Linked DNA regions of Drosophila melanogaster. The protein of the gene in region 1 interacts with the protein of each later gene in a pairwise test. Each region holds a gene or a part of one and is shown on either strand. Other genes may lie near its edges. The genes, in order: CG13053 and CG14767.

Region 1 (3,137 bases):
CGGAAAACTCTTCTATATAACTTTGCATATATATATTTAACCAATTTAATTGATCTAACAGCTGATCTTTGCCTGTTTGCTTGCTCTGGCTTTGGGGCACGAGGTGTATTACTATACCCCCAGCTATGGGTACTACCCCAGTACCTTTGCCAGGTCCTCGGCTGTCCTGCCCTTGGCCTATTCCCGTTTGATTGCCCCGGCAGCCGCCGAATCGCATCTTTACCACAGCGTGGAGACCCCGAACTCCTTCCAGCAGCAATATCGCAGCGACTACAAGCCCCTGACCTATGAGTACATCTACTAGATGGGCGGGGAGCAACAAACCTTTGCGTGAATTGTAAGCAAGTGAAATTTGAATAAAGTTCGAACGCTCCTCATCGAAGGTGTTTTAACTCTAGATGATAAGCCCCCATTGTGTTGAGGTGTCTGTGAAAACAACTTTCCTACTTCCCCCAAAACCAAATGACCTAGCACACCCGCTGTCTGTTGAACTCGGCCTCCAATTGTTGTTCAGTTATAAAGCCCCAAACAACAATGGCTATATCGAATGACCCCGCCCAAATGCCCGTCCTTACACACAGTTGTTCACCTATGCTTCTCGGAGGCCTGTCTAAATTTAATAAAATCCCAAAAGTGGCAACAAATCAAGACTCATGTCGCACGTCGAACGTCACCGTGGCAAAAAGAAGCCGTAGAGTCCACCGCAAGGTGCAATGTGACTCACACAGGCTGTTCCCCCGATTTTTGCCCTTTGGCGAGTGGCTCGTCGATCCCGAAAGGAATCGCTCCGGAACGTGACCCGAGGCCGTCACATGGCATCCACCCATGGAACATACGCAAATGCGTAGATTGCTCTATGGCCATTGATACTTAGCATTGTTAATAATGAACTCTTAATCGGGTTTATTAACACCTCGATGTCCTTGGAAAATAGCATAATCTCCTTGGTTACCCTATATAAATAAATAACAATTAGTTTAATTTGCATAACACCATTAGAGAAGTGATAAAATGGATCATTGATATGAATGATTGCATCAGCCGACTAAGACTTTTAAGACTTCTCATCAAATATCACTCGACTAGATTCTTAATAATTTCTAAATTGTTTAATATTAATTTATCCTTTACCTTAATAATAATAATAATAATACAGAGCTTAGTTACCTTAAATAATTTTAAAAACTCCATTAATATTTTAATAAAGTAATAATATAAAAATAAATATAAATAAAAAACAGAATATTGATAAAAAGCTTAATAAAGATATACAAATATTTAGTTATTTATTGGGTTTTTGTTAAGAAAAACTCTTACGTTAAATTCCTCGAATACATTTATCGCGAATAAATCAACGTCCGTTAAAAATTATAGGGTACATAGCCGGCCATCAAGAGCCATGATTGATGATTACGAAACCAGATTGAGTTCGCGTTAATTATGCAAAGCTAATTAGAAGTTACTCCTCCGACCAGCAGATACATCTGATTGGATGGAATGGCTCGGGACGGTGGCATCCGTATCAGTTTACTAGAGCCCATAATCTCGGTGGAAAACCTGTTGCTGCCAAAGGAGCAGGAGCTCCGCCATCAGCACCATCTGCATTGGCATCTGATTCGGTCCATGGGGAAGTTCAAGGTTGTTACAGTGTCCAATTAATGGCTAAAGAAATCGCAGGCTTGACTAGGCAGGCAAATCTATGCGAACAACAATCTCACATTGCTGGGCAAAATGAGTACACTTAAACACGATTGAACAATATATAGTTCTGGTAAATATATTAAGCAGTGAGATATATGTCTAGTCAAAATATTTTAAAATTGAATTACATATTTTTTCATGGTTTTGTTAGTTTCATTATAATAAGGAGTTTAAAATAGTTTATCAACGTTTAATTTACTTGTCACAAGTTTCCTTAAGCTTGACTCGTTTTTCGGCGTGCAGCTGGCAAAAGGGTGACCAGAATTTAGAACGGGCTGTGGGAAGTGGACCCCCGTCAAGTTGTTTACCCAATGTAAAAACAGGCTTTGGATCCCGGGAGCCAAACCTTGGATATAAAAGGTCTTTGGGAGTGCAAGGAGGAGCTCAAAGCGAGAACGGCACTGGACGGCGTAGTTTGCAGTTTGAACAGAAAATGCGCAATTATCTCTGGGTAGGCAGCCAATTCCATTGGCCAAGTATCAGCTCCACTTAACTTCTCCACCTTCTACCGTTGCAGTTAGCAGTGCTCCTGGTGGTGGCCACCACCTGCATCAAGGCCAAGCCGCTGGTCTCCTTCGGTGTCAGCTACCAGCAGCCTTACCTGGGCCCCCAGCCAGAATCCTACTACTACGGAGGACGGTACCCGGCTGGTGGCTACTACAACAACTACCACAACAGCCCGGGTCCGTACGGCTACCCCTATCCGTATGCCAATCGCTATGGTGCCCTCGATCTCGGAATCGGCGCCCTGTCGCTATCGTCGTTCCTGCTCTGATTCCGTATAAAAGCCAAAAGCCACAGCAAATAGATGCGCAAATCACACAAAAGTCTTTTCACTATTTTCCTCGGCACGCACTGCTAAGCCTTATTTTTTTGCCCAGGTCAGGTTGATTTATATATATGTATATATTGAGCATAAGGATATATATAGTGGGCGGTGGACTTTGAGTACGTGCCATATCCCCGGGGGCTCTGGTGACCCACTGACTGAATTTATGGATTTTCGATTTCCTGTCACAAAACCCTTTGATTCGTTCTGACAGAAGTAAATTTTTAGGTGGGTGTCTTAATTTATGGTATCAAATGTCATGCAGTGAGGAAAGAACTCAAGTTAAATGCTAAATCTACCAACTGAACAAGCTTAGTTTTAAAATGTCCATTTAATACCTTTTAAACTTTATAAATTTAATTAAGTACTAAGAAATGACAATGAGTAGTTTATTGACAGCTTTTGTGCTAATGTCAACATTATTAGGACGACATTTCCTCACTTTGAATGCAGAGTATTTTAAGATTCGACATTTTCGATACGCTGATTATGCTAATGTCCTCGGCGGTGTATCAATTATTTATAGATGTTGTATCTTCAGGGGGCCCTGCATAACCGAAATGCGTTTGCAAAACGTGCAGGCGCAGCTTGAGTCTCCGGCAGATGC
Region 2 (7,843 bases), on another chromosome or scaffold:
CATGTTATTATAGTCAACTATTTTTAATTTTTTTGAAACATTTGCAGTGCCTGAAGCTTTTGTTTCGATGGTGGTAAGATAAAGTGCATTTCCAAACGATTTTAAAACATGTTTAAAATAAACTTAATAACAAGTTTTCACGCTTGACAGATTTTATCTACTGCACCTTGGGGGATAAGGTTTGCTTTCGAAATGTATCATCCGGAAGTTTAAGTTTATAAAAACGTAAGCATATGATCTTCTCTTTGAAGACCCACTCCAAACATTTTTAAAGGAGGATTGTTCCACTTTTGAGATAAACTAAACACATGTAAGATACTCTTTTTTTTACACATGTAAGTTAGGGAAATGACAAAAAAAATTAATGTAGCCCAAGGAGTTAACGGCTAAATAACGTGGGTGATCGTCGGAAGAAGCCAACAAGCATGGGCGGAGACTCGAACTCGAACTCGCGCACTGATTTCGTAGGGAATTCCAGTTGCCTTAGACGACTGAGCCACCGCGGCTGGAAAATTTGGGACGTCCGAAATCGGAGAAAGGTGTTTGAAGCAGGTTAATATATGTGGTTAACCTACAGATAAGGCTACAAGCAGCACTCTTTTATTTATGGATGCAAAATCAGCTGATTGACAGCTTAAAACGCTTATTTACGATGGCCTGTTGTTTGGCCCTGATAACACGCGATTAGCGATATGGAAAACGGACCACCAGACCATCAACTTTTTCTCACTTTATATCCCCATGTTCCTGGCTGCGAAGTGCAGTTAATCCGCAGCTATAAATAGCAAACAAAAGTGAATTCGGTGGGTGACGTAGTTGGGAATAACAGAGAAGGGGTGGGATGGATACGTACTAAAGAGATAGAGAGAGAGCGACAGAGAGCGCGCTAACGAACGACGCAAAACTGAAGGAAACAAGGTACACAAAGGGGAACTGATAAACGAAACTTACTGTAAAACTGCAGTTACAGTGCCGTACTTTTATATAACAGCAATTGCACCCCACGTTCACTGGCTTCGTTTCAATAAATAAAATAAACACGGGCTAAAATTCTACGCGAGTCTGATTAGGCATGCGGTTTAAGCCATTTCAATTCCGTTCGCTGTCAATTTTATCTCTGTTTTGCTGCAGTTGGCTCTCCAAATCTTTTAGTTATGGTCACCCTACGATAGCAAAGCATGTATTTTGATTGCATCGCTGCTATCGATGTTTGCGGATTGGCGCTTTAGCGTTCGCACCGGTCACACTTACCGTACTTTTTAAAATTAATATTTACTTTACGATGCGGAAGCACAAACCTATCTTGAGTTGCTCCTTTCGAAGTAAATTTTAAAAATAATATTAACTTCAATAATAGTAATAAAAACATATCAATTTACATTTGGGGACACAAAATACATAAACTATGAATATTTAGAAATAAATGAGCTTACATCTCTTCGTTTTGTTGTTTATTTATATGACATCTAATTCAAAAATTATTGTATAATATCATGATATTTGCGAATAATGACTCGTATAAACGTTACCGTTCTGCAAAACGCATAATGTCAGTGTGACCGTGTTGCGCGGCATTTTACCACTTTCAGAGATTAGTGCTCACGGGTTTTCGTGCTGCGCAGCAGTTAAATAAAATTGAATACATCAAGAGCTGCAGATATAAATCGGAGTTGAAAACCAGTGCAAGTTGCATTGGCCCACAAATCAAAGGTACGCCTTATAAAGGAGAGTGAATCAATTGCCGAATTAGTAGTGCAAAAGGTCAAAGCATCAGTCGTGAAAAAGTGGCACACATAAATACAAATGCATACATACATACTCGTAGATGCAACACACACCTACACCTAAACACACATACACACACAAACACACATCCGTGGGAGGAATAAAACACCCACAATTGCTGATTATTTTCTGCACTCGTTATCGTTATCGCTTTCGTTTTCGCATTCATTTTCCACAGCCGCAGTTTCGTGGGGCGTGCAATGTTTAGGATCCACCTCAAGATGGGTCCCCAACGCAACCAGCTCCACAGCAACAACAACAATGGTGCCGCCGGAAGTAGCAGCAGCACCGGAAACCGTCACCTGAAGGAGTTCACCTGCTGCTTCGGCCTGCATGTCCACACGGCCACTTTGATGATCGGATTGTGGCACCTGGTAAGTGCATCAAGGGGGGTATCCTTTAATCCATACATGCGTGTGTGTATATCGAGATACACCCACGCATGCAGTCCTGCGGCATTTGCGAAAAACCTTTGACCCTGCTCAGTGTCACGCAAGGGAAAAATCAATCAGCCAATGACTGCAAAACTTTGCGAAGACGAAGACGAGCCAACTCTGCACTTTCCCCGCCTGTGACGTCAATTGGTGGCTGATTGGCCGCTGCTGCGTCATCTGATCAAATTTAACTACAGTATAATTCGCTTAGCTGCCTCGAGTACTTTGCACAATGCCTCGATGCAGGTAACTTAAAAATGCAGCTAACTTAATTTTTTTTTTTCTATTTTCTATTTTCTATTCACACAAAAAAATGGAAAAATAATGCAGATATCTTGCCGATGCAGCTAACTATCGATGCAGCTAAGCGAATTATACTGTACTATCATCGGGGCTTTTTGGCACAACAACTTATTTCTGCCATCGGTTCCACTGCGGAAGTTTCCACATCCCATGTCCATTGTCCGAAACTAACCTTTCACAAGATCTGACTTCGCATTAGCAATCGCTACACTTGGAGAAATGTAAAGCATTGTCGAATTTTCAAAAGTTTCATAAGAAATTAGTTTTATTGGCTAAAAAAAGGGATATAAATGTGCAAAGTGCAGTATTTTCAGTCTTGTTATCAATGTTTTTGGAAACCCAGAAACCTTTGATGTCTCTTCTGAAAATGAAAGAGAATGCTCTGCCCTTAAGAGAGCGCGAATCTGCGGCCAATAAAAGATTTGAGTCGTTGAGCAAAAACCCTTGCTTAATAGTATTTGTCTCACTACGCTATTCGTGTATATTTTACACTGTTCCGCTACTTTCTTTATGCTTTGATCAGGTCACGTTTTCCAGTAGAAAACTCCGTCACATGGGTTGATTATGGTGTGGACAGCAGTGGAGTTATCTTTTCTAATCTGTCCAATCTCAAGGGTTTCTTTGTTTACATTTTGTAGATATGTATGGCGTTAGAGGCTTTAAAAACAAAGCAATTCCGCAAATCGAAGGTTGCTTGTTGTTTGGTTGACTCATCCCCAGAGTGACAATTGTTGATATACTGCGGCGCACTGCAGATTAAATTTCATGATGAATTTCTGATGAATAATTTAACTAAAGATGGCAAGTTGCCGCATCTCGGGTCGTTGCAAGGCCTTCAACCTGAGATACTTAGATACTGAATCGGATATCCAACGGCAGCCATCTGAGCAAACAGCAACCAGAAACATGAGCGTTCAAGTTATTTTTAATAACTACACGTACTCGACAAGTGATGCGAAAATATTTACTCTTGTGGTGGCTTACTCTTGCTTTTCGGTAAGAAAGATATATTCTTCTGGAACAACATTCTGAAGCGTGCTGTCATAAATCTGAGAATTGTTAATTCAGCTGTCATCTATCAGCACACAGGCTGCAAATCAAATCAGGCGAAGCTTTCTTATCTTCTTTTTTGCCAGCTTATCTTCATGAGCGGACCCATGCACCTGCTAACGCACTCGAAATACTTTTAAATGTTGAGCTATCATTAAAGTCCCCCCTCGTGATCCTTGGGAATCTTTGCTTAGTTTGTGACGTTTACAACTTATTCACATTTTTATAAATATTGTTCTGCTCACACAAAAGTCTACATTCCCCACTACTTCCAATGAAATTCCATCCGGAGGAAGCTGTCCAACTGGTGAAGGCATTTGCGAGATTCGAATGCAATGCCCCACACAGACGACACATTTCCGGAAGGCAGTTCTTGTTGTCCTATTGACATTGTTTCCTCAAATAAAGTCATCCTGCGCGGCTATGCTTCTAAGGCGAATAAGGATGTCGAAGCGGTGGAGGAGCTAGAAGAGATACAGGAGATGAATGATGAGCTAAGGGATTTGTTCATCAATACAACTGCCATCAATTGCTCGTCCCTTTCTGAACTAAAAATCCAGACTGACGCTTTCAACACCCTTAAAGAGCGTACACTATTCTCATTGGGATACTCGACAGCCGGGCTTTTAAAGAAATCAAAAATCAGTAAGGTTCTAAAAGGGAAGGTCAATTTGTACCAACAGATTGTGAGCCTTGTAAAGCAACGTACAAAGACCAATTCAGAGATCACCATAGGAAAGACAAGTCATCCCGTGCACCTGATGGTCTTACAGAGCTTTTCGCGAATGTTTCGCGATATGGGCAATGACCTGAGCGTGGCCCTGCCCGAAAAGATGATTACGCCACGCTCCTTTGGCCTAATCTACGAATGGATGATCGAGGACACGCCAGTCTTGCCGCGACTCGGTCTCCTAGAGGTTTTCCACGCTGCCAAATTTATGGAGATTCCACAGTTGGTCAGGCAGTGCAAGTATTGCCTCGATCATGGATTCACTGAGGACTCCGCTGCGATGCTGTACTTTGAGGCGAAAATACTGAAACTTGAGGTTATCCATTTGCAATATCTTGAGCGCGTCTCAAAGTTTTTTCTCACGCTGGTGGCATCGAAAGAGTTTTTGAGACTGCCGCTGAAATCAATGCTATTGCTCATCCAATCGGATCTGATAGGCGTGAATACGGAGCTGGAGGTCTTCATGGCAGCCGCTCGGTGGCTAAGCCACCACTGGCCTCAAAGAGAGGAAAACGTAACGGATGTTGTATCCAGCATACGTTTTGGACTAATCCCGCCGTGGTTGCTCATCCGTTTACAGAAACCGGATGTCACATCTGTGGGGGTGGGGAGAATCGTAGCGCAGCCAATTGTGCGCCAAGCCATTCATGAAGGCATCGCGTACACGACCACGCGGATGTTTTATGGAAAAGATCGGGAGGCTTTTAAGCACTATTTGCATAAGGCTTGCGTAAAGCCACCCGTGCAACGCACTTGGATATACGACCGGAAATGTCCGTATCATCATCGAATGCAATGCAGGAACACGGTGGACTTAACCTACGACGCGTTCCTTGAATATCTTAATTACACGCAACGCCAGCACCGGGATTATTGGAAATCTCTGGAACCAGTAGATGCTAGCAATGTTTGCTTCAGTTGCCAGGCAAAGAAGTCTGATTTAACTAAGCCCAACAGTTGAGTCTCCACGTTGGTTGTAGAACTTGTAAAATATATATTTCTACTTATATATGTAAGCCTCCATGTGCAATTAAACAGTTTAATTATTTTAGTAAGTAAAACCGCCTACGTTTATTTTCAGTTCTTGAACATATTGGCGCTAAGCGTTCTAGCGGTCATATGGCGCAATCCGGAGATGATGGACGAACTGGAAGGTGGCACCCACGACTACACCGTGGATCTGAGTGCACCGGCCCTACCCACGCCCCTTAGCAAGGTCGAACCGCCCTACGCCTACCGTGACCACTCCCTCAACTATCGTAAGCGTTACCGTAAGCAGTGGAGAGAGCAAGTTCCGCAACGCATTTAAATATCAATTTTCTGCTGCAGAGAACTTCGATATGGGCGGACTGGTGTGCACCTGCATGATAGCCATTACACTGATGATGATCTACGGAACCATCAAGGGAAAACCCTCCCACCTGTTGCCGTTCTTCTGTTTGCAATTGTTTGATTTCGCTATTACAACGTAAGGATTATAATCGGTGGAGTTACAGAGACCTCAAAAGATTTAAATCGCCACTTTACTTTAGTAAAGCTTAAATAGCCTTCTTAAATCCTTCGAGGTTTCTAGGACTCTTTTAATAGGGAGATTAATGTACTTATGCATTGTTCGTTATCATAGTCTCACCGCCGCTGGATATCTGTGCTACCTGCAGGCCATTCACAGCATCATTGCCGAGTCGCATCGCTTGCCGTGGCGCGAGAAGCTGCTAGAACTACCACCTGAGGAGCTAGTTGTTGTTGTCCTGGTCGTATTCATCTGCATTGTGTTTCTAAAGGCCTATTGCATTGGTATCGTTTGGCGCTGCTACAAGTACTTGACGCTCCGTCAGCAACACGTTCGCACCCTGTTCCCCTTCCTGGAGCCACCGACTGGAGTCCACAGTGTTGGCGGAACCTTTGGTGCCGAAGAGCGGTCTTACTCCACTCTGTTGCCCAATTACGATGAAGCGATTGCCCAGTACTTGAAGCAGGCACCACCGCCATCTTATCAGGTGGCCATGTCAAACTACGAAGAGGGTGAAGACGCAGCTGTTGGAGGTGCGGAGGTTAATCCTTCGGTGGCCCCTCTCTTCGTGGCCCTTGGAGCAGCCACTACCGCGAACGTAGCCTCCAACACGGATGACAACATGGATAATAACAATGATCAGCCGAACAATAACAACACTATGCATGTCAATGCCAATACGCCACCAATGCGCCGCAGCGATGCAGCTGTAAACGCTAATGTCGACGAGGAAGCGGACGATTTGGAGGTTATTGACGCTGGCGTTGATGTAATCGGTGGCATTCCGCCTCCTCCGCCCTACAACGACGTTGCCGATGCCCAGGTGCAAGTGCCATCGCAATCGCCGCTGCATCGCCAGCCAAACATCCCGGGACAAGTATTCGGCGGACGCGACGAAAGCCAGGCTTAAACAGTACTTTCGACTGGATTGCTTCTCATGGCGAGTGGGTTGTGATCAGCGGTGACCACCCCTCTCCCATCCTCTTCTTGCCCAGATGATCTGGTTTCTGGTCCCTCATTTCGCAGCTATCATTCCCAGGCACACATACACCTTCTTAATGGTTGCTTCAATGTATTGAACACTGTTTTTAGAAAAACGAAACGCAAACAAGTTTTCGCTATTAGCCATCGCTCATTATTGTTGTTTAACGTACAACTAAGACGCTCTAGTTGCTGCTAATTTAGTAAACAAAAGCATTAAAGCCAAAAACATATTGTGATGCTGGCGAGGAAAGCATCAATTCCTTTTCGGCCGCATCTGACCCGATTTTAGCTGCAACAATCTGTTAGAACGTTTTTCATTTGGCCCGAACTAGCCTGAGAAGTTCGGATATTGTAGGCCCAAGTAGTTGTTACCAGAGAGTGTCGCTGGCATTGTAGACACCTTTACGATGTTCTTTGTTTTAAGTTATCTCGTAAGACTATGCATATTGAATACCGTGTACTGAATTCAGAGCACAGGCAGTCATAATCCATTAATTATGATGATATTACCAGCAACAGTAAAGTTTTATGTGTGTACAATATCTAAATGTATACTGTGTACTAAATATGCAAAGATATTCGAATAAAAATTAGTTTATATTTAATTTGTGTTTGCGACTTCATTTTAATTTAAAGAACATTATAATATAATTTCCAATTTCAGCTGATACCCTAATTCTATTTGGAAATTGGTTTCATTTTCAATAGAGTTGGAATGTTGACTTTTTAGTTTATAGTGTTAATCCTTTAACAGAGTTGATGATATTTATTTTAATTGGGGAAAGAAACAAAATAACTTTGTTCTCTACTATTAAGTTTAAAAAAGAGAATATTCTTTGATCAACTGACTTCCATAGAGATTCCATTTTTACATTTTCTTTTTATTGTTTATTGAGGAAAGAAGCTACATAAAAATTCCCGATCATTACATATATGTATGCATATACAAAGTGATGACTAATAATAAGATTTGTTGGTGTTCCCAAGAAATAATTCCCCGGAGAAAAATACCCGAGACTATATTATTGTGTGCGATTGTATTCTTAA

The links.
Region 2: the proteins of CG13053 (region 1) and CG14767 interact in a two-hybrid assay, tested with the Drosophila melanogaster proteins (one large-scale study listed by BioGRID).

Annotation. Positions count from the first base shown.
Region 1 is NT_037436.4:16,258,424-16,261,560, reverse strand, and holds CG13053 (uncharacterized protein), read left to right. Parts: upstream 1-1,838; 5' UTR 1,839-2,134; coding exon 2,135-2,152; intron 2,153-2,218; coding exon 2,219-2,476; 3' UTR 2,477-2,524; downstream 2,525-3,137. Other genes in the region: CG34247 (uncharacterized protein), read left to right, coding at 62-304.
Region 2 is NT_033778.4:8,717,573-8,725,415, reverse strand, and holds CG14767 (uncharacterized protein), read left to right. Parts: upstream 1-1,576; 5' UTR 1,577-1,710; intron 1,711-1,918; exon of another isoform or gene 1,919-1,963; 5' UTR 1,964-1,985; coding exon 1,986-2,159; intron 2,160-3,791; exon of another isoform or gene 3,792-3,907; coding exon of another isoform or gene 3,908-5,263; exon of another isoform or gene 5,264-5,316; intron 5,317-5,383; coding exon 5,384-5,573; intron 5,574-5,631; coding exon 5,632-5,770; intron 5,771-5,926; coding exon 5,927-6,722; 3' UTR 6,723-7,399; downstream 7,400-7,843. Other genes in the region: CG30357 (uncharacterized protein), read left to right, coding at 3,908-5,263.